Linked DNA regions of Sus scrofa. The protein of the gene in region 6 interacts with the protein of the main gene of each other region in a pairwise test. Links are inferred from orthologs where the notes say so. Each region holds a gene or a part of one and is shown on either strand. Other genes may lie near its edges.

Evidence for each region.
Region 1: the proteins of ATXN1 (region 6) and FAM46A interact in binary tests that used the Homo sapiens proteins (3 or more experiments, as listed by UniProt). The link is inferred for Sus scrofa from reciprocal best matches to the Homo sapiens genes ATXN1 and TENT5A.
Region 2: the proteins of ATXN1 (region 6) and TRIP6 interact in binary tests that used the Homo sapiens proteins (3 or more experiments, as listed by UniProt). The link is inferred for Sus scrofa from reciprocal best matches to the Homo sapiens genes ATXN1 and TRIP6.
Region 3: the proteins of ATXN1 (region 6) and EIF4ENIF1 interact in binary tests that used the Homo sapiens proteins (3 or more experiments, as listed by UniProt). The link is inferred for Sus scrofa from reciprocal best matches to the Homo sapiens genes ATXN1 and EIF4ENIF1.
Region 4: the proteins of ATXN1 (region 6) and PLEKHN1 interact in binary tests that used the Homo sapiens proteins (3 or more experiments, as listed by UniProt). The link is inferred for Sus scrofa from reciprocal best matches to the Homo sapiens genes ATXN1 and PLEKHN1.
Region 5: the proteins of ATXN1 (region 6) and TRIM32 interact in binary tests that used the Homo sapiens proteins (3 or more experiments, as listed by UniProt). The link is inferred for Sus scrofa from reciprocal best matches to the Homo sapiens genes ATXN1 and TRIM32.
Region 7: the proteins of ATXN1 (region 6) and ESRP1 interact in binary tests that used the Homo sapiens proteins (3 or more experiments, as listed by UniProt). The link is inferred for Sus scrofa from reciprocal best matches to the Homo sapiens genes ATXN1 and ESRP1.

The regions. Positions count from the first base shown.
Region 1 is NC_010443.5:84,543,806-84,547,968, reverse strand, and holds the start of FAM46A (protein FAM46A), read right to left. Parts: upstream 2,801-4,163; 5' UTR 2,482-2,800; coding exon 2,462-2,481; intron 2,274-2,461; coding exon 1,709-2,273; intron 551-1,708; coding exon 1-550.
Region 2 is NC_010445.4:8,711,840-8,716,020, forward strand, and holds the start of TRIP6 (thyroid receptor-interacting protein 6), read left to right. Parts: upstream 1-1,381; 5' UTR 1,382-1,540; coding exon 1,541-1,649; intron 1,650-1,941; coding exon 1,942-2,069; intron 2,070-2,161; coding exon 2,162-2,287; intron 2,288-2,574; coding exon 2,575-2,961; intron 2,962-3,257; coding exon 3,258-3,351; intron 3,352-3,459; coding exon 3,460-3,629; intron 3,630-4,115; coding exon 4,116-4,181. Other genes in the region: SLC12A9 (solute carrier family 12 member 9), read left to right, coding at 1-692. UniProt on the Homo sapiens protein: Relays signals from the cell surface to the nucleus to weaken adherens junction and promote actin cytoskeleton reorganization and cell invasiveness. Involved in lysophosphatidic acid-induced cell adhesion and migration.
Region 3 is NC_010456.5:48,201,902-48,206,173, forward strand, and holds the start of EIF4ENIF1 (eukaryotic translation initiation factor 4E transporter), read right to left. Parts: upstream 2,801-4,272; 5' UTR 2,782-2,800; intron 2,699-2,781; exon of another isoform or gene 2,595-2,698; intron 2,479-2,594; exon of another isoform or gene 2,306-2,478; intron 1,672-2,305; exon of another isoform or gene 1,667-1,671; 5' UTR 1,640-1,666; coding exon 1,547-1,639; intron 1-1,546. UniProt on the Homo sapiens protein: EIF4E-binding protein that regulates translation and stability of mRNAs in processing bodies (P-bodies). Plays a key role in P-bodies to coordinate the storage of translationally inactive mRNAs in the cytoplasm and prevent their degradation.
Region 4 is NC_010448.4:63,331,054-63,333,846, forward strand, and holds part of PLEKHN1 (pleckstrin homology domain-containing family N member 1), read left to right. Parts: intron 1-489; coding exon 490-636; intron 637-728; coding exon 729-809; intron 810-910; coding exon 911-983; intron 984-1,268; coding exon 1,269-1,396; intron 1,397-1,469; coding exon 1,470-1,601; intron 1,602-1,704; coding exon 1,705-1,785; intron 1,786-2,459; coding exon 2,460-2,535; intron 2,536-2,653; coding exon 2,654-2,793. UniProt on the Homo sapiens protein: Controls the stability of the leptin mRNA harboring an AU-rich element (ARE) in its 3' UTR, in cooperation with the RNA stabilizer ELAVL1.
Region 5 is NC_010443.5:257,053,223-257,057,276, forward strand, and holds the start of TRIM32 (E3 ubiquitin-protein ligase TRIM32), read left to right. Parts: upstream 1-1,254; 5' UTR 1,255-1,376; coding exon 1,377-1,381; intron 1,382-4,054. UniProt on the Homo sapiens protein: E3 ubiquitin ligase that plays a role in various biological processes including neural stem cell differentiation, innate immunity, inflammatory resonse and autophagy.
Region 6 is NC_010449.5:12,304,351-12,307,850, reverse strand, and holds part of ATXN1 (ataxin-1), read left to right. Parts: intron 1-2,626; coding exon 2,627-3,157; 3' UTR 3,158-3,500. UniProt on the Homo sapiens protein: Chromatin-binding factor that repress Notch signaling in the absence of Notch intracellular domain by acting as a CBF1 corepressor. Binds to the HEY promoter and might assist, along with NCOR2, RBPJ-mediated repression. Binds RNA in vitro.
Region 7 is NC_010446.5:42,040,184-42,043,683, forward strand, and holds part of ESRP1 (epithelial splicing regulatory protein 1), read right to left. Parts: intron 643-3,500; coding exon 544-642; intron 409-543; coding exon 354-408; intron 1-353. UniProt on the Homo sapiens protein: mRNA splicing factor that regulates the formation of epithelial cell-specific isoforms. Specifically regulates the expression of FGFR2-IIIb, an epithelial cell-specific isoform of FGFR2.

The DNA.
Region 1 (4,163 bases), on a different chromosome or scaffold from region 6:
ACACTGTACTCTCATTCACCACTCCATGAAGGGTCATGAGATAGTCATACTTGCGGTCTTCCAGGCCCACGAAGTGGTTCTGCAAATAGGACTCCAGTTTTCTCTGCTGCTCTCCGATATCTGAGAAGTCGATGAAAAACCTAGAACACATATACCTCTGAAGCGTCTTGATCTCATCAGAGGCGGGCCTAAAGCCCCGGACTAAGAGGTTGCAGTACTTAAGCAGGCCTCCCCCTCTGATTTCCTCTGGGTTCCTGGTGGCAATGATCTTATTACAAAGGTGATCGAAGGCTTCGTGGAAATCCCCGTAGACGCTCTCCCCGATGATCGTGGGGTGAAAGGTTTCAGTCATCGGGTTCTCTGAACATTCATAAAAGAGGAGAAGAGAGTCTAATTTGATTTGAAAGGAATCTACACTAAATTCAAACTGCCTCCGGAGGGAATCCACAAATTTCAGTTCCACATTTTTGCCACTGTTGTTTGACAGAGATATAAGACTCCATCGGTCAGAGTCATTGCACACTTTAACCATTTTCTGCACATAAGCTTCCTACAATTTAAAAGACAAAACGAGAAGATGAGCAAACCTAGGGGGGAAAAATCATAAATGAATAAATACATCCTCGTCACAGCTGAGACTCATTTTGCTCCTCCCCTCTTTATTTTGTCAAGTTTCAGCAAAACACTACCTGCAGGCTGGCACATTAAACAGTCTTCTGAAAACAGAAAAAAAAAAACAAAAAAAAAAACCAAAAAACCTGCATTTAACGAGTGGTTTTGCCGTCTGGGAAAGAGACTAGAAATAATAGTTTGAGGCTTTTGGCAGACGTAGCACAGTACTAAGAGGCTCTGTTGTCATGTCTGACTTTTGAAATGTTATTTTTTGAAAGGGATCTTATAGGTACAATATTCACACAATATCACAATATTCAATGTACAGAAGAATATACAGTGAAAAGTTGGTCTGCCTCTCACCCTTGTCCCTAGTCACCTAGTTCATCTGCCCCTGAGGCAACAGATAGGATCAGTATTTTGTATGTCCCTCCAGGAGTTCTGCAGTTAAAATCAAATGTGAACTAAATTAAGACATTCGGGGAGGCTGGTACCTCAGATTATTTTAGGTAATCGTATAAAACCGCGCTATGAACCAAAGTGGGGAGGCGAGGACCCATTTATACCCCGAACAGAGGAACCAACCCAGGGAAGCGCCACATACATCCTCAGTACAAGCAGTCAGCTGAAGGCAGCTAGGAAATCTATTCACATTTTCCAAAACAATTATAAATCCATTGACTCGACTCTGCTGCAGGCTGCTCTTTTCCCAAAGACTAAATCATCAAATGACTCAAAAGAAGGAAAAAAAAAAAAAAAAAGGAGAGAGAGATTTACATCATTTCACTCTCCCGCGGATCTGAATCTACTCTAGACAGGACTCAAGCAAGGAAAGCCAAGAGTTAAAATATAAGGAGAAGGAAGAGAAGGCAGAGCTGAGGAGGAAGCAGAAGAGTTGGGGCACTGAAGCAGCAAGTAAACTAGAACACACAACGCAGCTCACGCATCTTCGTTTACCCATTAAAAAAAACTCAAATGCAAAATAAGCCAAAGCTCCTGCACGAGACGGGGCAGCAAACGTGCGCCCCCCACGCCTAGCGCCTCACGCCCGCGCCTGGTCCGCCGCGGGCCCCCGGCCTCTCTCGGGTAGCTTTACCTTGAGCGTGAGTGGTGTGATCTTCTCCTTGTTCACCCCTTCGGGTAAGAAGTCCAACAGGCAGTCCAGCACGACGTCCTTCACAGTCTGAAACTCCTCTTCCCCACGCAGGTCGGCGCAGAAGATTAGGTCCAGGTCCTTGTAGCCCAAGCCGCTGTCCTGGTGCAGGACGTGGCTGGCGGCCGAGCCGTTGAGGCGCACGTCGCGGACGCCAATGCGCTTCTCGGTCAGACGCCGCCGCACCACCTTCACGATCAGGCTGGGCTGCAACTCGAGCGTGGGGAAGTTGCCGCGCCCGTGGATCGGGATGGTCTCGCTCAGGATGCCGTCCAGCCGCTGCACTTGCTCCCAGTTCAGCACGTTGCAGTGCGCCGTGGGGCTTTCGCAATAGTCCAAGCAGTGCCCGCCGCCGAAGCCGCCGCCACCGCCGCCGAAGTCGCCGCCGCTGAAGTCGCCGCCAAGGGGGATGTAGGGACCGCCAGCCAGCTCGTCCTCGGCCATGGCGAAGTACCCTTCGCCTTCCGCCATGAAATGCCCGCCGAATGCCACTTGGCCCTGGTCAGTCCTAAAAGAAAACGGGGGTGGGGGGAGCGCGGTGAGGACGCGCGGCGGCGGGGCTGAGCCGGGCCCCCGGAGGAAGGAGCGGCCCCCTCCTCGTTTCGCCTCCCGCCTCGGGAGCTCCCGGAGACGCGCCCGCCCCAGGCCCCCCAGCCCCCAGCCGCGCGCGCCGCGCCCCGCAGAACAGCCCCGCACCAAAAGTATCTCTGATGCATCTGGAAAGCGCAAGCGGGAGTCCCGTCTGTGTCACCTGGAGGCGGCCGCCCCTTCTAGGAGCGCGGCGATGGAGGAACTGCGAGGCGGCAACACTTCCAGGAGCCGCGAAGACGCTCCCGGCAGTGGCGAGCGACTTAGTCCTTTCCAGACCCCTGCCGCCTGCGCCGGCCACTCCCGCCCCTCGACCCCGCCCGCGCCTCAGCCGCGGTGGTCCCAGAGGTGGCGGCTCCTGCTGTCGCTGCCGCCGCCGCACACGCTCCTGTCTCTGGAGCTTTAGCAGTTGTGCGGGCGAAAGGTCTCCAGTACTTTTTTTATACCGTGGCCGCTTGGCGCTTCCGGGGCCCGGCGCCGCATGCTCGCCACACCCTCCTCATCTGCATAGGGAGCCGCCCCCGCCCGCCCAGCGCCCGCGGCGGGAGCCCAGCAGAGCCGCGCTCCTTGAGGACCGGTCCCCAGGGCGCGAAGCTGGAGGCGGTGCGTGAGTTCACTTTAGTTCCTGTAGGTAGATTTGATGTAGGGACGCCCACCCACCCACGCCTCTCTTCCTTTTCCCCAAGGAGGAGACACTTCAGATACTTCAAGAGTCCTCACTGGCCCTCAAAACCGGATCAAGGCGAAAATCGCGTAACTGCTGAAACTTCTCAAAATTCTCGCCGGATGCGGCTCGTCATCAAAGCTTAGTGACGGGGGCTCCAGAGGGTCTTCTTGACCTCCCTTTTAAACAGTGTGTGGGGTAGCACTAGAGCGGTTATGGCATTAATAAACTCGGCCTCAGTGTGAACTAAGGGGTCCACTTCCCCGTGCCAATCAGTGTCTGCGCGCAACGGGCAGGGCAGGCTCCCCGAGTTTCGTTTCTTCAAACCTCAGGCGGCGCGCCGGGCTGGGGTGAGCCAGAGGAGCGCGGGGGCGGAGCCGAGCGTGCGTCCAAGCCCAGCGCACCCGAGGCTCGCGGCGGCCGGGAGCGCGGCTCGGGCCAACGCGCGTCCCCGAGCGGACGGCCGGGCGGGCACGCTGGCCTGGAAACGCGGGGCGCAAGGGGTGGGCGGCCGCTAGGTCGCGGGGCCGGAAGCTCGGCTGAGCGTTCTTCCATCCAGAAGCTGAGGAGGTGAAGCGCGTTCCTCGCCGGCAACTAAGGTTTGCGTTGTTCAAGTGAATGCACATGTCAGGGTGAAGTGAGCGAGTTTTCCACGACCCGCGAAAGCACGAGTTTAAAGTCTGCGACCGTCCCTCCTCCACACCCACAACTCCCGGCGCCTCCGCGGCTTGAAAGGAGTGTGGCCTTACCTCCGCGGGCACTAGCGCTCGAGGCCCGCGTTTGCTAGAAAGCGCCCCCTTTCTTCCTGCCGTCAATTCTGGCCGCTCGCTACCCTTTTCCAAACTGAGAGCCACTTTCCTTCGTCTTGAGGCCACGGCGGGGACAGAGGCGGGCTGGATACTCCCGCCCATGGCCCCGCTCGACCCCAGCCGCCCGGCCTGCAAGGAAGCATAGCCCTCCCTCTCCGGGCTGGGGAGCCCGGGCCTCGTCACTAGGGCCCCGCTCCCAGCAGGAGGCGGGGAGGCGCGGGTCGGGGAGGGGGAGAACAGTCACCCGCGGAGCAGCCAGCTGCGGGGCAACGCCGCCCCCTGCTGGTGCCCTGCGGAGCTGCGCGCCTAAGCGTAGGCACCCGCTGGACCTCAGAGG
Region 2 (4,181 bases), on a different chromosome or scaffold from region 6:
CTGTGGCAGACGCCCTGAAGATGAATAAGAATGTGGTTCTTGCCCGGGCTTGTGGGGCCCTGCCCCCTGAGCGACTGAGCCGGGGTTCCGGGGGTACCTCTCAGCCACATCATGTGGACGTGTGGCCCCTCAACCTGCTGCGGCCCCGGGGTGGACCTGGCTACGTGGACGTCTGCGGCCTCTTCCTGCTGCAGATGGCCACCATCTTGGGCATGGTGCCTGCTTGGCACACTGCCCGCCTCCGGATCTTCTTGTGCCTGGGGCCTCGGGAGGCCCCAGGGGCAGCCGAGGGGCGGCTCCGGGCACTGCTGAGCCAGCTGAGGATCCGGGCAGAGGTGCAGGAGGTTGTGTGGGGTGAGGGGGCTGGGTCCGAGGAGCCTGAGGAGGAGGAGGAGGGGGACTTTGTGAATGGCAGGCGCGGAGACGCAGAGGCAGAGGCCCTGGCACGCAGCGCCAACGCCCTGGTTCGGGCCCAGCAGGGGCGCGGCAGAGGAGGAGGGCCTGGTGGGCCTGAGGGTGGGGATGGCGAGGAAGGGCCCACCACCGCCCTCACGTTCTTGTACCTGCCTCGGCCGCCTGCTGATCCCTCTCGCTACCCTCGCTACCTGGCGCTGCTGGAAATTCTGAGCCATGACCTGGGCCCCACGCTGCTCATTCATGGCATCACCCCTGTCACTTGCACTGATCTCTGATGCCGGTTCCTAGTAGAGAGTGTCCAGGTCGAGTGGCCCACTTTGCTTGGCGGGTTGAGGAGGGGAGGTGCTGCCTCTTGCCCTCCTTGTACTTGGGACTCGGACCCTGGTGGAGGTATTAGGGGAACCTGGTCTTTGGGAGAGGGTCCTCGCTGTGCCCAGGGCAGCTGAGCCGGCGGCCACCACTGGCGAGAAGTCAGCAGCCCTCCCCCACGCTGGCCTCCCTCCCTTCACTGGTGCCTTGACGGGGCTGGGTCTCCGCTTGTGACTCTAGGCTACCTCAGTCTCCCCGCCCCTTGCCCAGTAGACTCCTCACCCTTGAGGTTGTGATGTTTTTGTTCCGTTTTATTTTTCTAACTGCTGAATGTGAATAAAAGACCAAAACACTAGGTGCTGGCCGAGCGTTTCTGGAGGGAGCCGGTAGGGGGGACAGAATGCGGGACGAATCTGTATGCGGGGAGGGGCACTGGAGCATCCCAGCGCAAGGGGGCCACGTGCGGACTTGGGGCACAAGAGCCCCGTGTTAAAGGAGGCTGCCTGAGCCTCCCACCCCCACCCCCCGGGCCCACGCTCTGGAGGAAAGCCGCCCCGGCTCGCAGGAGGGGGCCGACTAGGGGAGGGACGGCAGTTTAGGGCCTAGGGGGCCACGTGACCCTCCCCCAGGAATGCGATGACGTCATCGGGGGCGTGGCCGTCCCCAAAATTGGGGAGGAAGGGGAAAAAAAAAAGCCAGAAAAAGTTTCTGTCCTGGAGTCCCAAGCGAGGTGTCGGGGGGAAGAAGGGGTCAAAGTCAGAGCCCTGGGCTCCGTGGGGCCCTGACCGCTGTCTGGAGTCCCCCATTCCAGACCATGTCCGGGCCCACCTGGCTCCCCCCGAAGCAGCCGGAGCCCGCCAGAGCCCCTCAGGGGAGAGCGCTCCCCCGAGGCGCCTCCGGGCCGCCGCCAGCCCACGGAGCAGGTAAGGCAGCCCCAGTGCGGTGCGGAGGCCACCGGGCCACCAACACTCAACTCTGCCCTGCTGCTCTTGCCTCCCGCTGAGCCTGCCCCTGTCGCCCCTTCCCCAAGCCCGGCTGGAACCCGCCGCGCCCCCGCCCTCGCCCTCTCCCAGCCCTCACTGCCTCCTGCCCCATTCTCGGACCCCAGATGCGGGGGGAGAGGGGTGAAGAGGGACCCAAGACCGGTGGCCTCCACAAGTGTCACCCTCCTCTCCTTCCCCATCCCCACCTTGGCTCTCTCTTCCCTCACCCCAGCACTCCAGTCCCACCCCAGGGTCAATTTTTGCCCCCTCCCATCTGAGCAGTGTTACCAGGCCCCTGGGGGACCGGAGGATCCGGGCCTGGCCTGGGTGGGGTGCCATGGAGCACCCCAACGCTCACAGGTGAGCACCGCGATTAGGGGGTGTGGGGGGGACTTAGGGCAGGAGAAGAGGCCATATGAGTTGCATTCTCCCTGCTTTTGCTCTATCTCCAGGGGCTCCCCCCGGACAGGGGGGCCTTGCGCCCAGGAAGTCTGGATGCTGAGATAGATTCCCTGACCAGCATGTTGGCTGAGTTGGACGGGGGTCGGGGTCACGCCCCACGGCGGCCTGACCGGCAGGTGACTCCCCGCTCCTGTCCCTCCCTGTCCTTGTCCCCCACCCCTCCCCCGCAACCTGGTTCCTGCTCTGTATTCTCACTCCTCTTCTCCCTCCACATGGGGGATGCACCCACCAGCGAGGAGGAAGCTGGGCCACCAAAACGTACTAGGTTGCCAGCCACTCAAGGACGGGCCCTTGTCAAAACCAGTGCTTACCTGGGTGCCACAGACACAGGGTTCAGGGGTTCCACAGATGTGTGTTCTGGATTGGGCCCAGCTCATGCCTTCTGGTCTGTGCTTCTCTCCAGGCTTATGAGCCCCATCAGCTCCCTGCCTACCGCTCAGGCCCTGGCTCCCTGAAGCCGAATGGAGGGAGTGTTCCTCCCACACCACTCCCAGCGGCCTCCTATGGCGGCCCCACGCCGGCCTCCTATGCTACGGCCAGCACCCCCGCCGGCCCTGCCTTCCCTGTGCAAGTGAAGGTGGCACAACCAGTGAGAGGCTGTGGCCCCCCCAGGCGGGGGGCCCCTCAGGCCTCGGGGCCCCTCCCCGGCCCCCACTTTCCTCTCCCAGGCCGAGGTGAAGTCTGGGGGGCTGGCTACAGGAGCCACCGTGAGCCAGGGCCAGGGGGTAAAGAGGAGGCTGCCGGAGTCTCCGGCCCTCCGGGAGGAAGAGGAGGCGGGTACGGGCCCCAGGTAAGCCCTGGGCCCTGGGATTTGGGGTCCTCAAAGACAGTTGGATGCTGACTGGGTGGGGTGGGGGTGGGGGTTGATGTTCCAGTTTTCAAGCTCTGGATTCCCTGGGGGCGGGGGGCAGGTCAGGAAATAAAGGAGGGAGGGGACTAGATCTGCACACTGGCTCCCAGAGGCACACCCCTGGCCCCTGGGCTGGGGTGTTCTCCTGTGAGCTTTTGGGTGGAATTGCCTGATCACTCTCGGTGACAGTATTGGGAGGGAGAGGTAGGATTGAACCCCTGATTCTCACCTCCCAGGTCCCCCTGAGCCAGCCTCCCGAGGAGGAACTTGAGAGGCTGACCAAGAAGCTGGTGCAGGACATGAACCACCCGCCCAGTGGGGAGTACTTCGGTGAGCTGCCCCCCGCCACACACCCCGGGCAGGGGGTGGGGGGAGGTCAGGTAGACAGTGGGTCTGGCTTCCCAGTCTATGGTTGACCCTGACCCATCCCGTCCCCAGGCCGGTGTGGTGGCTGCGGAGAAGATGTGGTTGGGGATGGGGCCGGGGTTGTGGCCCTGGACCGTGTCTTTCACGTTGGCTGCTTTGTCTGTTCTACGTGCCGGGCCCATCTCCGGGGCCAGCATTTCTATGCCGTGGAGAGGAGAGCGTATTGTGAGAGCTGCTATGTGGTGAGTGGTGGGGGCTGGCGGGGGGTGGTGGCAGATGGAGTCAGCAGCAGGAAGCAGGGGGCTTCCATCCAGAGTGGGAACTAGGTGTCCAAGCCCCAAAGAATAAGGCTCGAAGCAGGAGAACTAAAACTAATAAAGAAAAAGGCATGGATGAAATAAGTAGCTGTATACTGGTTGCTGGAGAGAAAGGACAACATTCCCCTGTAAGAGTGAGGCATTTATTTTCGGTTTAGGGGAATGTGCTGAATCCCCACAATGCCCTGGTGAGGCAGCTGTTACTCCTGAAGGAAACTGAAGGTCTGAGAGCTTAAATATCTTGTCTGGGGAAGCTGCAGTGCTAGGATTTGCACGCATACCTGTTCAAGGCCACCTTTAACTGAATCACATGCAGGGGGCTACATAAATAGGTGGGGGAGCTGGCAGGATGCCTGTAAGGGCTGCCATGGGTCACCCCAGCCCTGACCTTCCTGCTCTCCTTCCTGACAGGCCACCCTGGAGAAGTGCTCCACCTGTTCCCAGCCCATCCTGGACCGGATTCTGCGGGCCATGGGG
Region 3 (4,272 bases), on a different chromosome or scaffold from region 6:
GCAAGTAAAGTACCAATCAGAATTTTTATTCAAAAAGTGCTGGAAAACTTGAATTCTCATGAACTTATAAAAGCAGCTCAAATAGGTTCCCCTTCACTTAATAAGCTTTTCTGCATTTGGATTTCACCTGTCAACATTTTAGGTAATGAATTTAAGTTGTTAACACTATTCAAGCACTCTCAGGTTTGCTTGGGAAGCAACAAATCCAAATGAACAAATAAAGTGCTTTCTATCAATTCACATTGTTAAACCAAAACAAGCTGCGTTAGGATAGCAATTAATCATGATCCCTTTTACACTCGAAGACACTTTTTCCTCTAGAAGTTTTTTTTTTTTAATGCTAAAAATGAATGTTACTCCAATAGCATTTGATACTTTATTGAGTAGATAAGAGTAGTGGCATGAGTACAAAAACAGAGCCTGGCTTTAAAATACCAACCAATCAGCATCCTGGGAAGCCAGAGACAATACCCACACTAGAGTCTTTGATTGGGTACATACTGAAAAAATATATAGACCCAACTAGAATATAATTCTTCCTGTCAACAGTCCCAAGCACATTTTATGTACTCCAGCCTAATACACTTCAGGGAACCAGGAAAGAATTCACTGCTTCTGTCAACCTCTTCAGTAGCCCACAAGACAGTGAAGCAGTAACTTCAATAAATACACAACCATGTGGTGATACCCATCCACCTCTCCAGAAAAAGTAGATATCTAGAGTTTAAAACCATAAATTTTTAGCTAGGGTAAATATGACTGAAGTCATACTTTTGTGACTCCACATCCACTTTACTGGAAGTTAGGGGAGGGGAAAAAAAAAAAAAAAAAAGAATTAAAAAATCCAGAGTTTCCGTTGTGGCACAGTGGAAACAAATCCCACTAGTATCCATGAGGATGTGGGTTTGATCCCTGGCCTTGCTCAGTGAGTCAGGGATCCAGCATTGCTGAGAGCTGTGGTGTGGGTTGCAGATTCTGTTCAGATCTCTAAGTGCAGCGGCTGTGGCGTAGGCCACCAGCTGTAGCTCCAATTCAACTCCCTAGCCTGAGAAGTTTCATATGCTGCATGTTCAGCACTAAAAAGCAAAAAAAAAAAATTAAAAGATTTAAAAAATCTGATTTTCCTAGCCAGGCAAATCAAAGAGCATTCCTGTGAGGAGTTCACCTCTCAAGGAAACATCAATGCAGCAGACAAGGTTTCTGTGTGGCATCCCAGAACTGTAATTCTTACTCTACAACATGTAAGACAATAACATACCAGCTACACACGTGTTACAGAACTTGTGTGCCAACATATATTGAACCACAAATCCACATGGGATCTAAGACCATATTCTCTTTACCTGAAAACTACTTAGAAGCAAATTCTAGTGTAAACTTCCAGAAAAAGTTCTAAGCAATTCTTTACTAAATCTGGTTAATATTTAGTCCACATAGTGAGTAAGAATGAGACTATCATTTCAAATACTACTAATGAAATGCCTATACAATGTTACTAACCTCCTCACCTATAAAGAAACACTATTTCATTAGTAACAAAGCCTACTTTTGTATAGCGATGGGGGGATTTGGAGGCTGGTTGCTTCTTCAGATCTAGGAAAGCATCTCCATTTTCTGATTCACCCACACTTCTATCCATGGCTCCTTGGTCTACAGTTCTTTACACCTGGAAGAAATCAGGACAAAACTGTCACTAAGAATATATTTTCAGAAATCCTTACTGTTTAAGAAACTGAAGCTCTTATCGCTTAAAATGACTACTTTAAAAAAAAAAAAAGCCCTCACCCAAAAATTACAGTATAAACCGCAACCTACTTAGAAATAGAACCACTGGAACTTGGATGTCTCTTCTAATAAAGAGCTCTAAGCAAAGGCGGAACGTGCCCAAATCAGGGTACAACCTTTAAGCAGCTTTAATATAAAAAGAAACCAAGACTAGTCGCTGCAACCCATGAAGGCCGTTCAGGCAGTAGTGGGGAAGTTTGCAGGAGTGGGGGCAGGTAGGAGACGGGTTGGGGCTGGGGATCCGGGAAGTAGGGCTGTGGTAAAGTGCCTGTCACTTGCCAATGGACGGCGCCAGCTGCCCCTTGTTATCAGAGACCAGGGATTGGGGACGGGGCCCGAGCGCTCCTCGCCCGGCCGGCCGCACCTGTGGACATGTCAGGGGTGCCCATGACAAGGAAGAAGCGAGCTCCTTCTCCAGCTCCGAAACTCGGCTTCCAGGACCGAAACCCCAACCCCCGGCCTCTCGCGTAGGCCCCGGCCCAGCGGCCTCTTTCGGAGGAAGGGTGGAGACCATACTCACCGAGGGGAGGCAGGCTGGTGGGAAGGGGAAGCCAAATCCCCCAGCGCCGGCTCTCCGAGCTGGAGCCGGCGCAGGCCCGCACCGTCCACCCCGGCCCGCGCGGCCCGGCGGCTCGGGCCCCGCCAGGCCGCCCGCTGCCTGCCGGCCGCCCAACTGGCCTCGCGCCCCTGCTCGCCCCCCGCGCGCGCCCCGGCGCTTGCGCTCACGCACGCGACCCCGGAGCGCAGCGCGCCCCCTCTCTTACTGCGGACCCAGGCGCGCAGCGCCCCATACACCGCCCGGCCCTTACTCGGTGCCTCGGCCGCCGCTCCCCTCCCCGCCGCCCGCGCCGGTCCGAGGGCTGCTCCGCGCGGCCTTCGCTCTCGCCCCGCCCCCCCCACCAGCTCGGGCTGTCTCCCTTCAGCCGCCGTAACCGCGGCCCAGCCCTCCGCCCCTCCTCCCCGGACCCCTCCCCCTTAATAACTCCCTCCACGCACCCGGGCCCCAGCACCGCCTTCGCCGCCGCGCGCCCGGATGTGAGGTGTCCGCGGCGGTGCCGGGCGGAAAAGAAAAACATTGCGGCGCGCTCCCCGGGCGCTGGCCCCTGCGTGCGCCGGGCGGCGGGGAGGCGGAGGCTGGGAGGCTGCTGGTGTGGGGGCAGCCGAAGCCCTCCCCGATGCGCGCAGGCGATCGACCTGGGCAGCCCCGGGGAGAACGCCGCGTTCCCACGCGCGCTTCGGGGCGGAGCTCAACAGGGCAGGAGGTGCTCGCGAAGTGGGCCGGGGTCCGCAACGTGGGAACGTGTTGGTTGCTTTGTTAGCGAGGTTCACGTTGGCAGAGAACCTCTGGGGCAGCAGGAATCTGAGTTAGGCGAACACGGGGACTTTGGGGCCTTCCGGGGCGTGGGCTCGAACATCGGATTTTTTTTTTTAACTGGTGGTGTAATCTTGGGCAAAGCTCTGACTTCTGAGTTTTACTTTTCTTACTAAAATGGCCTTTCTATACAATTATAAGAGGAATAATCGAAATTATGCGTTGCTGCGTTAATAATCAAACGCCACGATTGCTGTTGATTGAGCTATGGGCGACTGACAAATTCAGTGAAATATTTTTCCCGCGCATAACCTGAATCTCTCCTCAGCCTGCACGGGAAGGGGAAGTGCACATGTGTTTGGGTGAAAAAGAGACAGCGAACGTCAAGCGCTTAGTACGTAGTGCCTAGTGCCCAGACTGGCTGACCTGGGCACAGAACGCAAATGTAATTTATTCTGTGAGCAGTGAAAGTAACTGCCTTGGCGGGGAGGAGCGGTCAGGAAAGGTTTGATGGAGATCACACGTGAGCCTAGTTTGCAGGATTTTCATGAGCCCCTTTCTGCCCAGTGGGACCGTGAAATGATGCATGACTGTGGAGGAAAACAACTTTTCTTGCTGAAGGAGAGCGAAATCCACATTTCTTTGAAGGGGCCTGCTTTCTTTTAGCTTCACTTTACTTGGGCAGTGAATGGTCACTAAGTTCCCGTTTTACGCGTCTTGACAACAGAGAAAAACAATTATGAATCCTTTTTCTTTTTGTCTGTAATACTGAATAAAATGTGCTTCTTAGAAACTATTTTCCTTCTGCCAGCCACTATGGAGAAATCCCACTTATTGACACTTATCCTGGTTCTGCCACTGAGTGTGAGACCTGAGCCAGTCATTTCACCTTTCTGAACCGGTTTACTCATCTATCGAAGAAAGATAGCAGTATCTACTCTTCAGGCTTGTAGTGGGAATTAGAGATAAGATTAAAAACACTGTGTTCTGGTATCTTTTGCTGTGTAAACCATCCCAAAATTCAGTGGCTCAACTCAACACTTATTTTGCATCAAATCTGCATTTTGGGAGTTCCCGTCATGGCGCAGTGGTTAACGAATCTGACTAGGAACCATGAGGTTGCAGCTTCAATCCCTGGACTTGCTCAGTGGGTTAAGGATCTGGCGTTGCTGTGA
Region 4 (2,793 bases), on a different chromosome or scaffold from region 6:
GGTAGTTTGAAATGGGCTGTGATGGGAGTACTTACACCATGGAAATTGGCAAGTACTATAAATCAGCCCCCCACTTTTTGGTAGCAACGATTTTTAAAGCTTTGCCAGCGCTGGAGGTGTGGGAGGGCTTCAAGCATTGTCTCCCCAAGGCACCTGAAAACCCCTTTGACCAACAAGCCTTAGGAGGCTGAACAACGAAAATAAGGGAACACAGCTTAGGAAATAGTGATGCTAAGGGTTGGATCTGCATTGTATCGAAACCTCACTGACTCCACCACTAGACCACGGAATTCTGTGACCAGCAGGGAGGCCGTGTGTGCGCGCGCACACGTGTACATGTGCCTTCTGCATGTTTTCGCGTGAAGGGGCTACGAGTGCGTGCAGTGCGTACACTGCGTGTGCGTCCTTAATCTATATGTGGTGTGACTGTGGGCCGGGGCTGCTGGCCCCAGGTCAGGCCCCCTCCCCTGAGCTCTGCCCCCACCCTAGAACCTCCCCGGTCTGGAGAGTCAGCCCCAAGACCTGGAGCAGCCTTTTCTGAGTGTGTTCAAGGCGGGCCGGCGGAGGGCACCCGTGCGGAACCTGGGCAAAGTCATCCACTACGCCAAGGTCCAGCTGCGCTTCCAGCACAGCCAGGTGGGGGCCAGGCCGAGCTGGGAGGGGCGTTCTTGGGGACCACGCTGCCCCCCCACCCCCAGCCCTCAGACCCTGGCCCTGCTTTCCCGCAGGACATCAGTGACTGCTACCTGGAGCTGTTCCCCTCCCACCTCTATTTCCAGGCCCATGGTTCTGAAGGGCTCACTTTCCAGGTGAGGGGAAATGGGCAGTGGGAGGAGCTGGGCGAGGGGAGCCAGCAGCTGCTGGGGCGGGTGGCCCAGTCCTAGGACTTCCCTCCCGCTGTGCTCGGCAGGGGCTGTTACCACTGATGGAGCTGAGTGTCTGCCCACTGGAGGGGTCCCGAGAACATGCCTTCCAGATCACAGGTGTGCGGGGGGCCCGGTGTGCTGCCCGTGCCTACCCAGCTGCCAGAAGGACGAGGGCCCTAAGACTGCTGCTGAGCAGGCCCCAGGACCTTGGCGGAGCTCTGAGCACATTGAGGGGCCCTGGCTTTTCCTCCGATGGGCACACGTGCACTTGCCAGGCTGGGGTGGAGGGCAGCGGGTTGGGACCTCCAGAGCTGTGCGTGTGGTGGTCAGTGGCTCCTCCCAACCCTTGAGAGTCCTTTCCTGTGGGCTGCAGGCCCATCCCTGTCTGCCCCTCCCCAACAGGCCCGCTGCCCACCCCTCTTCTCGTGTTCTGCCCCAGCCAGACCGAGCTGGGCCGCTGGCTCTACCACCTGGAGAAGCAGATAGCCCTCGTGGGGGGGCTGCCACGCCGCCACCAAGTGCCCCCGCAGGTCAGTGCTGGAAATCCTGCAACCCTTTCCCATCCCCAGCCTCCTCCACCTGCCCCTGACCCCCTTCTACCAGGGCCCCCCCGAGGACGAGCTCCCCTGGGTGCTGCAGCGCAGGCTGACCCAGCTGCGGACGGCATCTGGGTGCCAAGTGGTGGGCAGTGCCATCTGTGCCTCGAGGGTCAAGCTGCAGCATCTGCCCTCACAGGTGCGTGGGGGGGAGGGCACAGAGGAGGGAGGAGGTGGGGGCAGGTCCAGGCCCTGGACGTATGCCTGGGAGACCCTGTTCTGCCCTTTGACCCCCCTCACAGGAGCAGTGGGACCGGCTCCTGGTCCTGTACCCGACTTCCCTGGCCATTTTCTCTGAGGAAGCAGATGGGCTTTGCTTTAAGGTGGGTCCCTCAGCGCAGTGGATCCGCCCCAGGGAGGAGCCCTGTGCGTGGGGGGTGGGAGGGGGCAGCAGCGCAGGAGGAACCTGTATTTCGGGGCCTGTTGGGACAGACAGTACAGGCCCCACCCACCCAGCTCACTGCCCTGGTCAGTCTGGTCTCAACCTGAAGTGGGCAAGGAGGGGCCCCCGCCTTGGCCCCCCATAGCATCCTAGAGGGTCCTCGGCCACCAGCAGGCCCATCCCCTGGGGCGGGTGGCATGAGGGCTCCTGTGGCCCTGAGTAGACATCTTCCGGGTGCCTGAGGGCATGCGTGGGCACTCTTAGAGCCTGAATCGTCTGCCACATGCAGCACGATACCTTCCACTCTGGGTTTGATCACGGCCTTCAGTCACTGAGAAACACACACATGGGGGGCTTCCTCGTGATCCCTTCCCACTCACCCCCATCTTAGCAGGTGACCCAGGAGACCAGTCCCCATAAGCATCCGTCTGTGTTGGCCGTTGGCTGACAAAGTCTTCCCCAGAGACGGGGGAGAAGGGATGCCCAGGACAGATGGGGAGTGTCTGCCTTGGCCCTGCCTCGCGCACTACCTGGCTGCCCATGCAGCTCTGCGGGGCCCAGGCAGAGGCCTGGCTGGCTTCTCCTAAGGCCCCATCCTCCCTTGACGCCCCGCAGGGGGAGCTTCCACTCAGCGCCATCCACATCAACCTGGAGGAGAGGGAGAAACAGATCCGCTCGTTCCTGATCGAAGGTGGGCGGAGGCCAGGCCTGGGAGGAAGGGTGTGAGCCTGCTGGGTGGCCACCTCTGCACCGGGGCTTTGAGGGGGGCACCCTGCCTACCAGGCCCCCTCACGGCCTCCGTGTGCCAGGCCGTCTCATCAATACCATCCGTGTGGTGTGTGCCAGCTACGAGGACTATGGCCGTTGGCTGCTCTGCCTGCAGACTGTCTGCCACAAGGATGGGGCCTCCCTGCTGCCCGGCCCTGAGAGCTTCCCTGGGCTTCGGGCG
Region 5 (4,054 bases), on a different chromosome or scaffold from region 6:
TAACAATCTCAGTTAATCCTTAGAGCAAATCTGATCTCCACTTAGAAAGAAAGAAATGGGCAGAGAGAGTAAACACAGTTAAGAGGCTGGGTTCTCAAAATCAGTCCAGTCTGGGCTTTATACTTATGAACAAGTGGCTCTGTTATTTAGCTACCCAGATATCAGCTGCTTACCTCATAGGGTTTTGATGAAGATTAAGTGAACTATGCCTGTGAAGTGTGAAGCTCAGCCAGACACTAAGTGCTCAAAGATGTTGGTTCTGTGGGTTTTGTTTGCTGTTTTATCATTGTGAAAGGGTCAGGCTACGTACCCAGGATTTCAAATCCAAGCCCATACTCTCCTAAGCTTTACTGTATGGCTGGCTCCAAACGCCGCCAGCCCATAGGCTAGACTCTGTCTCTCCTGCAAGGATTCTACCCTTTCCTGGCTCCCCGAAAGCCTGACCTGGGTAGCTTCAAATTCAGGGACAGGGGCTCAGCGTGTTCCCCTATCTACCTCTGCTGTGGGCCTCCCAGCTGAGTAGGTGTAAGAATTCTTCACGAGATCAATCATCATATAAACTTAACTCTAGGCTGCGGTGTGTCACAAGGCAAACTATGGGCCCGAAGCACTACCTTTCTAAGCGTGTTTGGTTCTGTGCTTGCCCCACAGTGAAAGCTCGATTCTCTCTTTGGCCCATTTCTCCGACGGTAAAGCTGAGGTTCAGAGAGGCCACTGGCTGAGGACCACTCCTGGAGACCACGTTCTAGCGTACAGGTTGGAGCCAGACATATGAGTTCTGGTTTAGCTCCCGACTCGCTGCGTGAGCTTGGGTGGGCCTCCTTCGTCTCATTTCCTCTAACCTTACCATGGGGACAGAAATCAGAATTACGTATTTCTAAAGCACTGAATCCTGACCCGAAGAATCGCCGCGACCAACGGCTGGGCCGCGAGCTCGGCCCGCCAGCCTACAAACCCCAGCCAGGCTCGGGGGGCGGGGCGTAGTGACGGACAGGCGGCTTTGCGAATTGGCTCCCGCTAAGGCGTGCGCGTCCGCGCGTGCGCAGAGGCCGGCGGGCGGGTGGGCTGGCAGCGGTGGACGCGTCGGAGCCGCGGCCGGTCAGGTAGGGGGCGGGATGGAGGGTGGGGGACGCGGGATCGTGGCCCGAGTCGCTGGCAGCGGCTGAGCGGCTGGGCGGGAGCTGTGCGGGCGGCCGGTTCGAGGCATAACGGCAGGGTCTGGGGACCGGATCAGAGAGGCAGGACCGGGGTGGGGGTGGGGCCGTGAGGGGCAGGCTCAGTAGGGCTTCGAGGGGGCTGAGGAGCTCGGAAGAGGTGCCGCCGGGGCGGAGAGCTAGCGGCTCTGAGAAGATTCACGGTGCAGCATCTTGGGAGGTATGAGGTAATGTGGGGCCCTGAGAGACGGGTGCAGCGGCATCTGGAAGATGGGAGGGGATCTCAAGGCCCTGGAGGGATCCGAGGTGCAGAATCTCGGAAATATGGAGGGATTGGGGAGCCCTGATGAGACTTGAGGTGCAGAATCTCAGATTTGAGAGAATCCAGGGGCATTAGGCTTTGGGGGGAAAGATCTGAGATCAGAGGAAGCAGGGTCCAGGACTAACCTAATTGCTTGGGAGGAAGCGTTTTCCCGAGTGGAATTTGGTCTGAATTCTTGCGGGAGATCAGTGGGAAGCTGTGTCTCATCTCCTTAGAAAAAGAAGAGGCCTGGCTAAGCTTTGAAGTGACACATGACGGGGGTGGGTAAAGGAAGAAGGAGCATGGATTAAAGGCAGGGGCAGGGTCCTGATGGAATGCAGGGGAGGGGGGCTGAGATTGAGGGAGTGCACAGATCCAATGTGTGGGATGGGGGTGTTAAGGTGTGATGCAGGGCTGAAGGCCACAGAGACTTGGAAACAGGTCACAGAGATTTGGGCACATGAGTGAGGAACTGGGGGGGTGCCATATAGAGCCCAGAAGGCTGGGATTCTGTGTTGAGTTGGTGATGGGGTTAGGAAAAGCTGAAAGGCAGGGTGGAGATGTACCAATCGGACGTCAGAATGAAGAGACTGACTAGAGTTGTGGATTGGTGTCGGGCTGCTAAAGGCATTTTCTTGAAGTCTCTGCATGGGAAGCACAGGGTCTGGGGACCCAAGGACCTAGAAGTAATGTATGACACTGTATATGAGTATATGAAGTTTAGTAGAGTTCAGGCATTTGGCAGTAAAGTCCTAAGTCTGAGATCAGGGCTCCTGAAGGAGCCTGGCTTTCCCTGTGAGGGGCGGACTCTCCCTCACTTACTAACCGCAGATCCCTTATTGTGAGGCTGCCATGGCTCTTCCACTAACTTCACTCTGAACCCTGAACCTGCGGAAAGTGGGAGGCCTGGGAGAAGAGAGTGGTCAATGGGATCATAAAACAGGAGACTATTCAAGGTCTTGTCCAAGCTCCCCTTTGCCTGTCCCTCCAAGCTGTGGTGACAGGTAGTCTGTGAGACCTCCAGGAGATGGCTGGAACATGTTCTCAGGTCTTATTGTCCTTATCAGTGATATAAGTAATCCTACATAAGGTCCATTACAGGGGCTCTGTGAATGAGGTGTTTGGACCAGGAGAGTAACCAAAAAAGGGGAACTCAGATGTATTGAACATTTAGTCCTGTGCCAAGTTCTGAAGAAATGGTTCCTAACTGGCAGTATTTTTGTCCCCCAGAGGGCATTAGTCAGTGTATGGAGGCATTTTTGGTTGGCACACTTGGGGTGTTGGGTACTCCAGTAGGTGGACACCAGGGATGCTGTTGAACATATTAAGGTGTGCTAGACAGCCCCCATAACAAAGAAGTATCCTGCCCAAAATGTCAGTAGTGCCAAAGTTGAGCAGCTGTGCCCTAGAGTCAGATATCCTGGCCTCAGATCTTGGTGCACACATGCTCACTCTCTCTCTCTCTCGCGCTCTCTCTCTCTGTGTCTTGATTTAGTTATTTAACTTCCCTGTGCTTGGCTCTTCATCTGTAATATGAGATTAATAACAGGACCTATAGCATAGATTATTGTGAAGTAAATCAGAGTGCTTAGTGCCTGGTGCATAGTAAGTGCTCAAAATTCAGTAATTTAAAAATTTTGCATCTCCTTTCTTAATCAGTTTTCGTAGCCACCCTACTAAGTAGGCTCCACTATATCCAGTTTTACACTTAAGGAAAGTAAGGCTTAGAAAGTGACTTGTCTAATGCTCCATAGCTAGACATGGCAAAGCTACACTCATATTCAGATCTCTATAACCCTGTATATTGCCTCTTTCCTGCTTTTTCCTTGCTGGGGCCTGCTTAGTCTTAACTATCTCTATCTCAGCCCATTCCCCTCTAATGAAAGGATTCTCCAGTGAGCATCACTGAATATCAAATTGAACTCTAAGGGGAATAAATCTGATTAGGTAGGGAGTAGCCCTGAGCTGTATTCTCGATTTGCTCTTAGACCAGGATCAGTGGGTAGATAGGAGAAGGGTTTGAAGTTAGCAGGCAGGCTGAGGTGCACTAGAGCATGAGGTATGAAGGCCATTGGCTTGAAAGAAACACTTCATAGCAGGGACTGAGGTTGAAGGCATCCATACTCTGGAAAATAACTCCTGTTCTGAATGATCTCTAATGAAACATGGGACAGACTAACAGCATTTGCTCTGTCAACTCCAGGACTAGCTACAGCATTGCTGAGACCAGTTTAGAAACATAGTAGGACTGCATGAGAAGGCCAGAGATTTAGCTGGAATATCCACACACATACCTAAGGAAATGAGCAATAGAAATTCAATCAGTTTGGGAATCACAGACTTGAAGTCCAAAATCCTTCTTCTGCTGCTGAGTTATTAGGTGATCTTGGACAAGTACTTGCCCTTACCAGCCTCGATCTTATTGAAAACTTGAATAGCTACCATTTATTGAGTACTTATTATGTGCATTATCTCAGTTAATCTTGCCAGTGACCCTGACAACAGTCTAGGTGCTATTACACATTTTACACATGAGAAAACAAATAGGTTAAATGATTTACCCAAGGCTCCATAGCACACGGCAAAGCAGGGATGTGAG
Region 6 (3,500 bases):
GGTGTAGGTCACAGATGCCGCTTGGATCCCACGTGGCTGTGGCTGTGGTGTAGGCCGGCAGCTGCAACTCCGAATGGACTCCAAGCCTGGGAACCTGCATATGCCACATGTGCAGCCCTAAAAAGACTCTCTCTATAGATAGATAGATATACAAAAGACAAAAAGAAAAAAAAAATTCAATCTCTCTCTCATTTTTTTAGAGCCACACCCGCAGCATGTGGAGGTTCCCATGCTAGGGGTCCAATCAGAGGTGTAGCTGCTGGCCTATGCCACAGCGACGCAGGATCCGAGCCGCATCTGCGACTTATATCACAGCTCATGGCAACACCGGATCTTTAACCCACTGAGCAAGGCCAGAGATCAAACCTGCAACCTCTTGGTTCCTAATCGTGTTCGTTTCTGCTGTGCTACAATAGGAACTCCCACTAATGCTCTCTTTAACTGTGCTTATTCTGTGGGAAAAGCCATTGCATTCTTGATTTTAGTATTTTTTTTTCATCTGGAATTTCCATGGATCTTTTAAAAATAGATTCTAGTTCTCTATCAAAATCCTCATTTGTCTTTAATCTGAAATATTATAAACATAGTCATTTTAAAGTCTGTATCTGATGACTCCGTATCAGAAGCCACTGGGGGTCTGTTTATATTACCTGTTCTTTCTACTGGTTTTTTATTCAGCTCAGCTGCTCGGGAACCTTCTCCCAATTAAAAATGGAACATCTTTTATTTGGAAAATTTCTTGAACTGTGGAAACAATTCAAGACTTTAATCCAATTTTAGGGACAAAGAGGATTAAAATCTGAGCTTCAGACATTGAGAGGGCCTGTCTGCTTCTGTTTCACCTTACTTGTAGATTTCAGTGCTTTTGGGGGGTCCCAGCCCCGAAGTGCCCAGTTCACTGGAGAACACCCTCATGTCTTGCTGAACTCCATTCCCTGCCCCCTGAAACGTAACCCCCATGCTCTTGAGATTACTTAAAGCCCACTCAGTTTCTTAACTTCCCCACTTTGGAATCTACTAATACCCTTGGGGGGAAATAGCACCACCACCATTCAAATCTCTGGCCATCATTTCCTGATCAAAAGCCAGTGATTTTTTTTACTGTCTTATTTTCTGGCTACTGCCATCAGGAAAAAAAAAAAAAAATAGTTCTTTTACATTTGGTCCAGAGTTTGCTTGGTTTTTTGTTCAGAGTGTTTAGTTGTCCTCAGCAGGAAGGTTGGTACAAATTACCTAGCCTGCTGCACCTAAAAAAAAAAAACCATTGAAAACGTGACTGTTTAAAATTACTTTATGGTTTGCTCTCTTTTTTAATACATAGCATAAAGTGGAACATAATAAATTTCCATGAAAATGAAACTGTTCAAACTTGAAATGCATTTCACCCTGATGGAATGACAGTGGTAAGACTTCCATCACACCGTTCGCAAATCCCCGCGCACCCACACCTCCCTGCCTTTGTTCACACAGCCCTGCTTCCAGGGACACCTTTTCCTTGTACCCATTCCTCTCTTCCAGTCCCACTATTTTTTAAAACTCAGCACAGTGTGCCCTCATCAAGGATGCCTTCCTTACCCGCCTCTTCCATGCCTTTCCTCTGCCCTCCAACAACTTAATCCAGCGCCATGCGTGACCACCCCGCCCCGTGACCACACTTGCCACATCCTCCGGAGGTGATTGTTCCTGTGCCTTTTTTGCCCATTTGATTAGGAACTCCTTTGAGACCAGGACCGCTGTTTGCAGCGCGTTCCTTATCACAGCGCGCGGCACATGGTAGCACAGAGAAAATAGCAGCTATTAAAAGGATACCCGGCTTCCCTGGCTTCCGATAGTTGTTTTTCAAACAGAAAAGAGATGGATTTGAGTACCTGGGGCTTGAGTGTGTAGCTGGGCTGAGCGCTGGAGCTGTCTGTATTCATTTCACCATCTACCCAGCCGTGTCTTCCCCCCAAATCCTGCCCATCCTTTGGGTCCTAGGAGCCCTCCTTGCTTTCTCCGGCCGTCACGGATTCTTCTCCCCCTAAATTCCTAAAGTACATATTTATTTACCCAATAAATATTATGTTTCAACCATGTACCATGTGCTAGGTACTCTTAGGGGCCGGGGCCACAAGTGCTAAACACCTAAGTATGTAGCTCACGGAGCTTAACACAGTCTAACTCTGATCCTTATTTAGCCCTGTCATCCGTGAGAATAGCATCTCTGCCGTGGGCTCGTAGAGCATGAGACCAGACCTTCAAAGGGACCTCATGTGCAGGGCTAAGCCCAGCACTGAACCCTAAGTAGCTCTTCCGTCTTCCTGGGGGGGTGGTGTCAACTTTGTTTTGACAGAGACCAGCTATAGCGCTAATACACAGTAAAACAGTATTTTGAATACTGAACAACTGTTACTGGCTTCTCCCCAACATCTGTATTGGGTAAGTCCAGATCTGGCAGAAAATGAAGTGCCCCGTTGGCACGTGTTGGTGGAAGAGGTTTGTGCAACTGTCTTATTTTTTTTCCACTCGCCTTCTATGCGTGTGTATGTTTGTGAACAGGTGTATATCAAATCAAACAGGAATGAAATGTCTTCATGTTTTTCCCCCCTTTCCCCACCCCGCTCCCTGTCTCTCCCTGTTTCCACAGGTCAGCGTGGAAGTTTTGGTAGAGTATCCTTTTTTTGTGTTTGGACAGGGCTGGTCATCCTGTTGCCCAGAGAGAACCAGCCAGCTCTTTGATTTGCCGTGTTCCAAACTCTCCGTTGGGGATGTCTGTATCTCACTCACCCTCAAAAACCTGAAGAACGGCTCTGTTAAAAAGGGCCAGCCCGTGGATCCTGCCAGCGTCCTGCTGAAACACTCAAAGACCGACGGCCTCGCGGGCAGTAGACACAGGTATGCCGAGCAGGAGAACGGGATCAATCAGGGAGGCGCCCAGATGCTCTCCGAGAACGGCGAACTGAAGTTTCCAGAAAAGATAGGATTGCCTGCCGCCCCCTTGCTCACCAAAATCGAACCCAGCAAGCCCGCGGCCACGAGGAAGAGGAGGTGGTCGGCGCCGGAGTCCCGCAAACTGGAGAAGTCGGAAGACGAGCCACCTTTGACTCTTCCTAAGCCTTCTCTCATTTCTCAGGAGGTTAAGATTTGCATCGAAGGCCGCTCTAATGTAGGCAAGTAGAGGCCGCGTGGGGAAAGGAAATCGGCCCTCCTTTATCATTTGTATCCAGATTACTGTACTGTAGGCTTAATAACACAGTATTTACATGTTATCCTCTTCCTTTAGGTTTCTGTTATAACCTTGTCATTAGAGTTACAGCTGGTGTTGGGCAGGAGACGGTGCATATGCTTTTCCCACGCGTGTCTCTTGGCGGGTGGGCAGCTGGGGGCCAGGGCAGGTGCAGCCCAGGCCCCGGGCGCGCATCCTGGTGGAAATGAAGGTGGCCCCACGGCACCTGCCTTTTCTAGAGGCACAGATGCACCCGAGGGGCGCTGACTTCCACCAGTTTCAGGACGACGGTCTG
Region 7 (3,500 bases), on a different chromosome or scaffold from region 6:
CTGCAGTTGCCGGCCTACACCACAGCCACAGCGATGAGGGATCTGAGCCAAGTCTTCGACCTACACCACTGCTCATAGCAATGCCAGATCCTTAACCCACTGAGGGGGCCAGGGATTGAACCCACATCCTCATGGACACTAGTCGGGTTCGTTACCGCTGAGCCACAACACAAATTCCTGTTTCATTAAATGTTAATCCCAACACCCAAGCTTACTTTGATGAATGACCTAATATTAGAACATTGATAGCCAAACGTTTTGATAAAGTTACTCAAATATAAGGGGAGTTAAATATCACGATATGAATAAAAACATATCAAAAGGCTCAAATGGAATAGTATTCAAGTACTTACCAAGTGCCACTTTCAAATTTGTAATTTACTCTCTCTGGATCTGAAAACCTGTGATCTAAAATGAGAACACACAAGCCATCATTTTAGCTATTAGGGAGACAAAGCTGTGGGGGGAAATTCAGAAGTAGAGCTGAGGGAAAGTGGATAGGATCAGATTCTGGGTCCACATTGTTACAACACCAATACTTACTATAAGGCTCTGAAATCATTGCTAAAATTATATTTCCCATATCTTCTACTTGAGAGGCTCCATACCGGGAGGCTGAACTATTCTTCTCAAAATTTAAACCTGGGAGATTAAGTTAAGGAAACATTTTGGTAAAATGAGGCTGCTTCGAACCCCAAATTAAACAGAGCCAAGAAGCCAAGTAAGTAAAATGCATCCAGATTGACAATTCTTTTAAATCTCAGAAAGAGTTGCTTCTGATCAGTCTGGACTTTACCAACAGTCCCTCAGTGTCCAGGTGACCTTTGGGTTAAGATGACCAAAGCCATCCTGTCCTGATGAGTAATACCAGGATAACATGTGTATTGGGTAGTAGCAAATGCATGACAAATAAGCATTTTAGTTTCAAACCATGAAGTGTACAACAAAGTTAACAGAATCCTTAATCCGATCTTTATAACACACACAAGTTAATGACCTTCCTGACTTAAAGATATAATCACATCCATCAAGACTACAAAGTAGTGGAGTTCCTGTTGTGGCTCAGCCCAACACAGTATCCATGAGGATGTAGGTTCCGTCCCTGGCCTTGCTCAGTTGGATAAGGATCTGGCATTGCTGTAAGCCAGATGCAGCTTGGATCTGGCGCTGCTGTGGCTGTGGCAAAGGCGGCAGATGCAGCTCTGATTCAAACCCTAGCCTGGGAACTTCCATATGCTGCAGGATTGCTCCTCAACAAAAAAAAAAAAAAAAAAAAAAGAAAGAAAGAAAGAAGAAAAAGAAAAAAAGACTATTTAGTATGAAGTCACTTTATTTAGCCTAATGTTCGAGACACCTCGGATGACTGCTAACACTACATCTATGATGCCATTTTCATTCAGAACTTCCCTTCTAGAAGATTCTTGCAGTCCCATAATACAGCCATCATGGATGGTAGCAAATATTTGTCCTTTGAGAGTAAATTTGTAGAAATAATTCAAGCACTCAGAGCCAACAATGGCCAACGTGGCCTTTGATTTAGGGACTACCCTGTTTGGGCAAGCCAGGGCAAGTGGCTTTTAAGAGATGTGTGGCTAAAGTTAGGTTTGAGGGCGCAACCAAAAGAGATTTCCCTTAAGTTTTATGAATTTCCAATCTGAAATAAGCACGTATCTTTGTCAAAAATCATTATCTTAGAATATATGTATATTTATATATTTATACGCATGACTGACTCACTCTACTATACACCTGAAATACAACATTGTAAATCAACTATATTCCAATAAACTCAAATTTTAAAAAGTTACTTTAGGAACTAACAATCATTGAAATGTTTACTTTCTTTAGTTTTAAGTTTCAATGCTATAGTTATAGTCACTTTGTGTTAGGTACAAATTTGCATACGTTTTGGAAATGTAGTACAATGCATGTAACAAATAATACTACAGGACTCTAACTTTCCTCAAGTTTAAAATTAAACCAGCCATCTGGATGGTGGTCATTAAAATGTTTGCCCTATTTTATAAAAATGTTTTCTGACTGGTATTTTGTAATAAGGGTAAAAAATTAAGACAAATATTATATTCTTTTCCATTCTCCATTCCAAATCCGTTTCCATTTCATCCCTCCAGCTTCCTCTTTTCTTTCTCCCACAAGGAGGCACACTGCATTTCTTTCCCACCGTGCTAGGCCACTTCATTTTTGTGTTAACTCTTAACCTGTTGCATTTCTATGCAGTTTAATATGCTGCGTGTAGGACGTCCGCTGTGTGTTCCTTGGCAAATTACTTAACCCCATTAAACTTCAGCTTATCTGTAAAGCCAAGACTGTGATACTCTTTACCTTCCTGGGCTCTTGTGAAGATTGAGATAAAACAAGCCCAGGGCACAAAGCAGGCATTTAATAAGTGACGTTCTTCCTTCCCCCTCTTCCTAGAAACCTCAGGTGACCAACTTTCATAACCCAGGATAATCACACTTTAAGAGGGTCACATTTATGACCAAAAAAATCTGAACTCACCAGATGCCTATCTGTATACTCAGAGGATAATCATCAAGCTGAGATGGAGGATGATTTCTGCAGTCCCGCCCTTTGACATCAACCACCTTGTGGTGAAATAAATGTGCTGCCCACTGAGGGATTAGAAAATCAAGCCCAGGGAGTTCCCATCGTGGCGCAGTGGTTAACGAATCCGACTAGGAACCATGAGGTTGCAGGTTCGGTCCCTGCCCTTGCTCAGTGGGTTAACGATCCGGCGTTGCCGTGAGCTGTGGTGTAGGTTGCAGACGCAGCTCGGATCCCGCGTTGCTGTGGCTCTGGCGTAGGCCGGTGGCTACAGCTCCGATTCGACCCCTAGCCTGGGAACCTCCATATGCCGCGGGAGCGGCCCAAGAAATAGCAACAACAACAACAACAACAACAAAGAAAATCAAGCCCAGAAGATGTTCAAACAACAGAACAATGACCACCGATTGGGGTCATGCAAATGGTTATCCTTGGAAAAGTGCGTTATAAAGTATTTATTAATTCAGTGCCCATTTTCAAATATGATGACGGGATGGAAAAACTGAAGCCAAAGGATGAGGAAGACACTTTAGGGAGACAACTGCCCAATGTTTTCTGAGGGAGATGGAAGAGATTTTAAGGGCCCTTACAGAACTAAGAATAAGCTGTGACTAGTCATAGTTTATCACATAAACTCTGCCAACAAACGCTCATCTGGAACCCCACAATTCTAATAACACTTTGCAGCCTTGCAAGAGCCTAATGAAGGAATGAGAAATGGATCCAAGAAAGGGAACCAACGTCATTGTATAAGCCAGGGTTTCTCAACCTCGGCATAAGTAACACGTAGGGTGGATAATTCTGTTTGGGGAGTGGGAGGATGTTCCCGTGTACTTTGGGATTTTAGTAGCATGCTGACCTCTACCTACCCAAGTTTTAAAATTTAACAATTAAAAAAGTCACATCAGGAGTTCCCGTCGTGGCGCAGTGGTTAA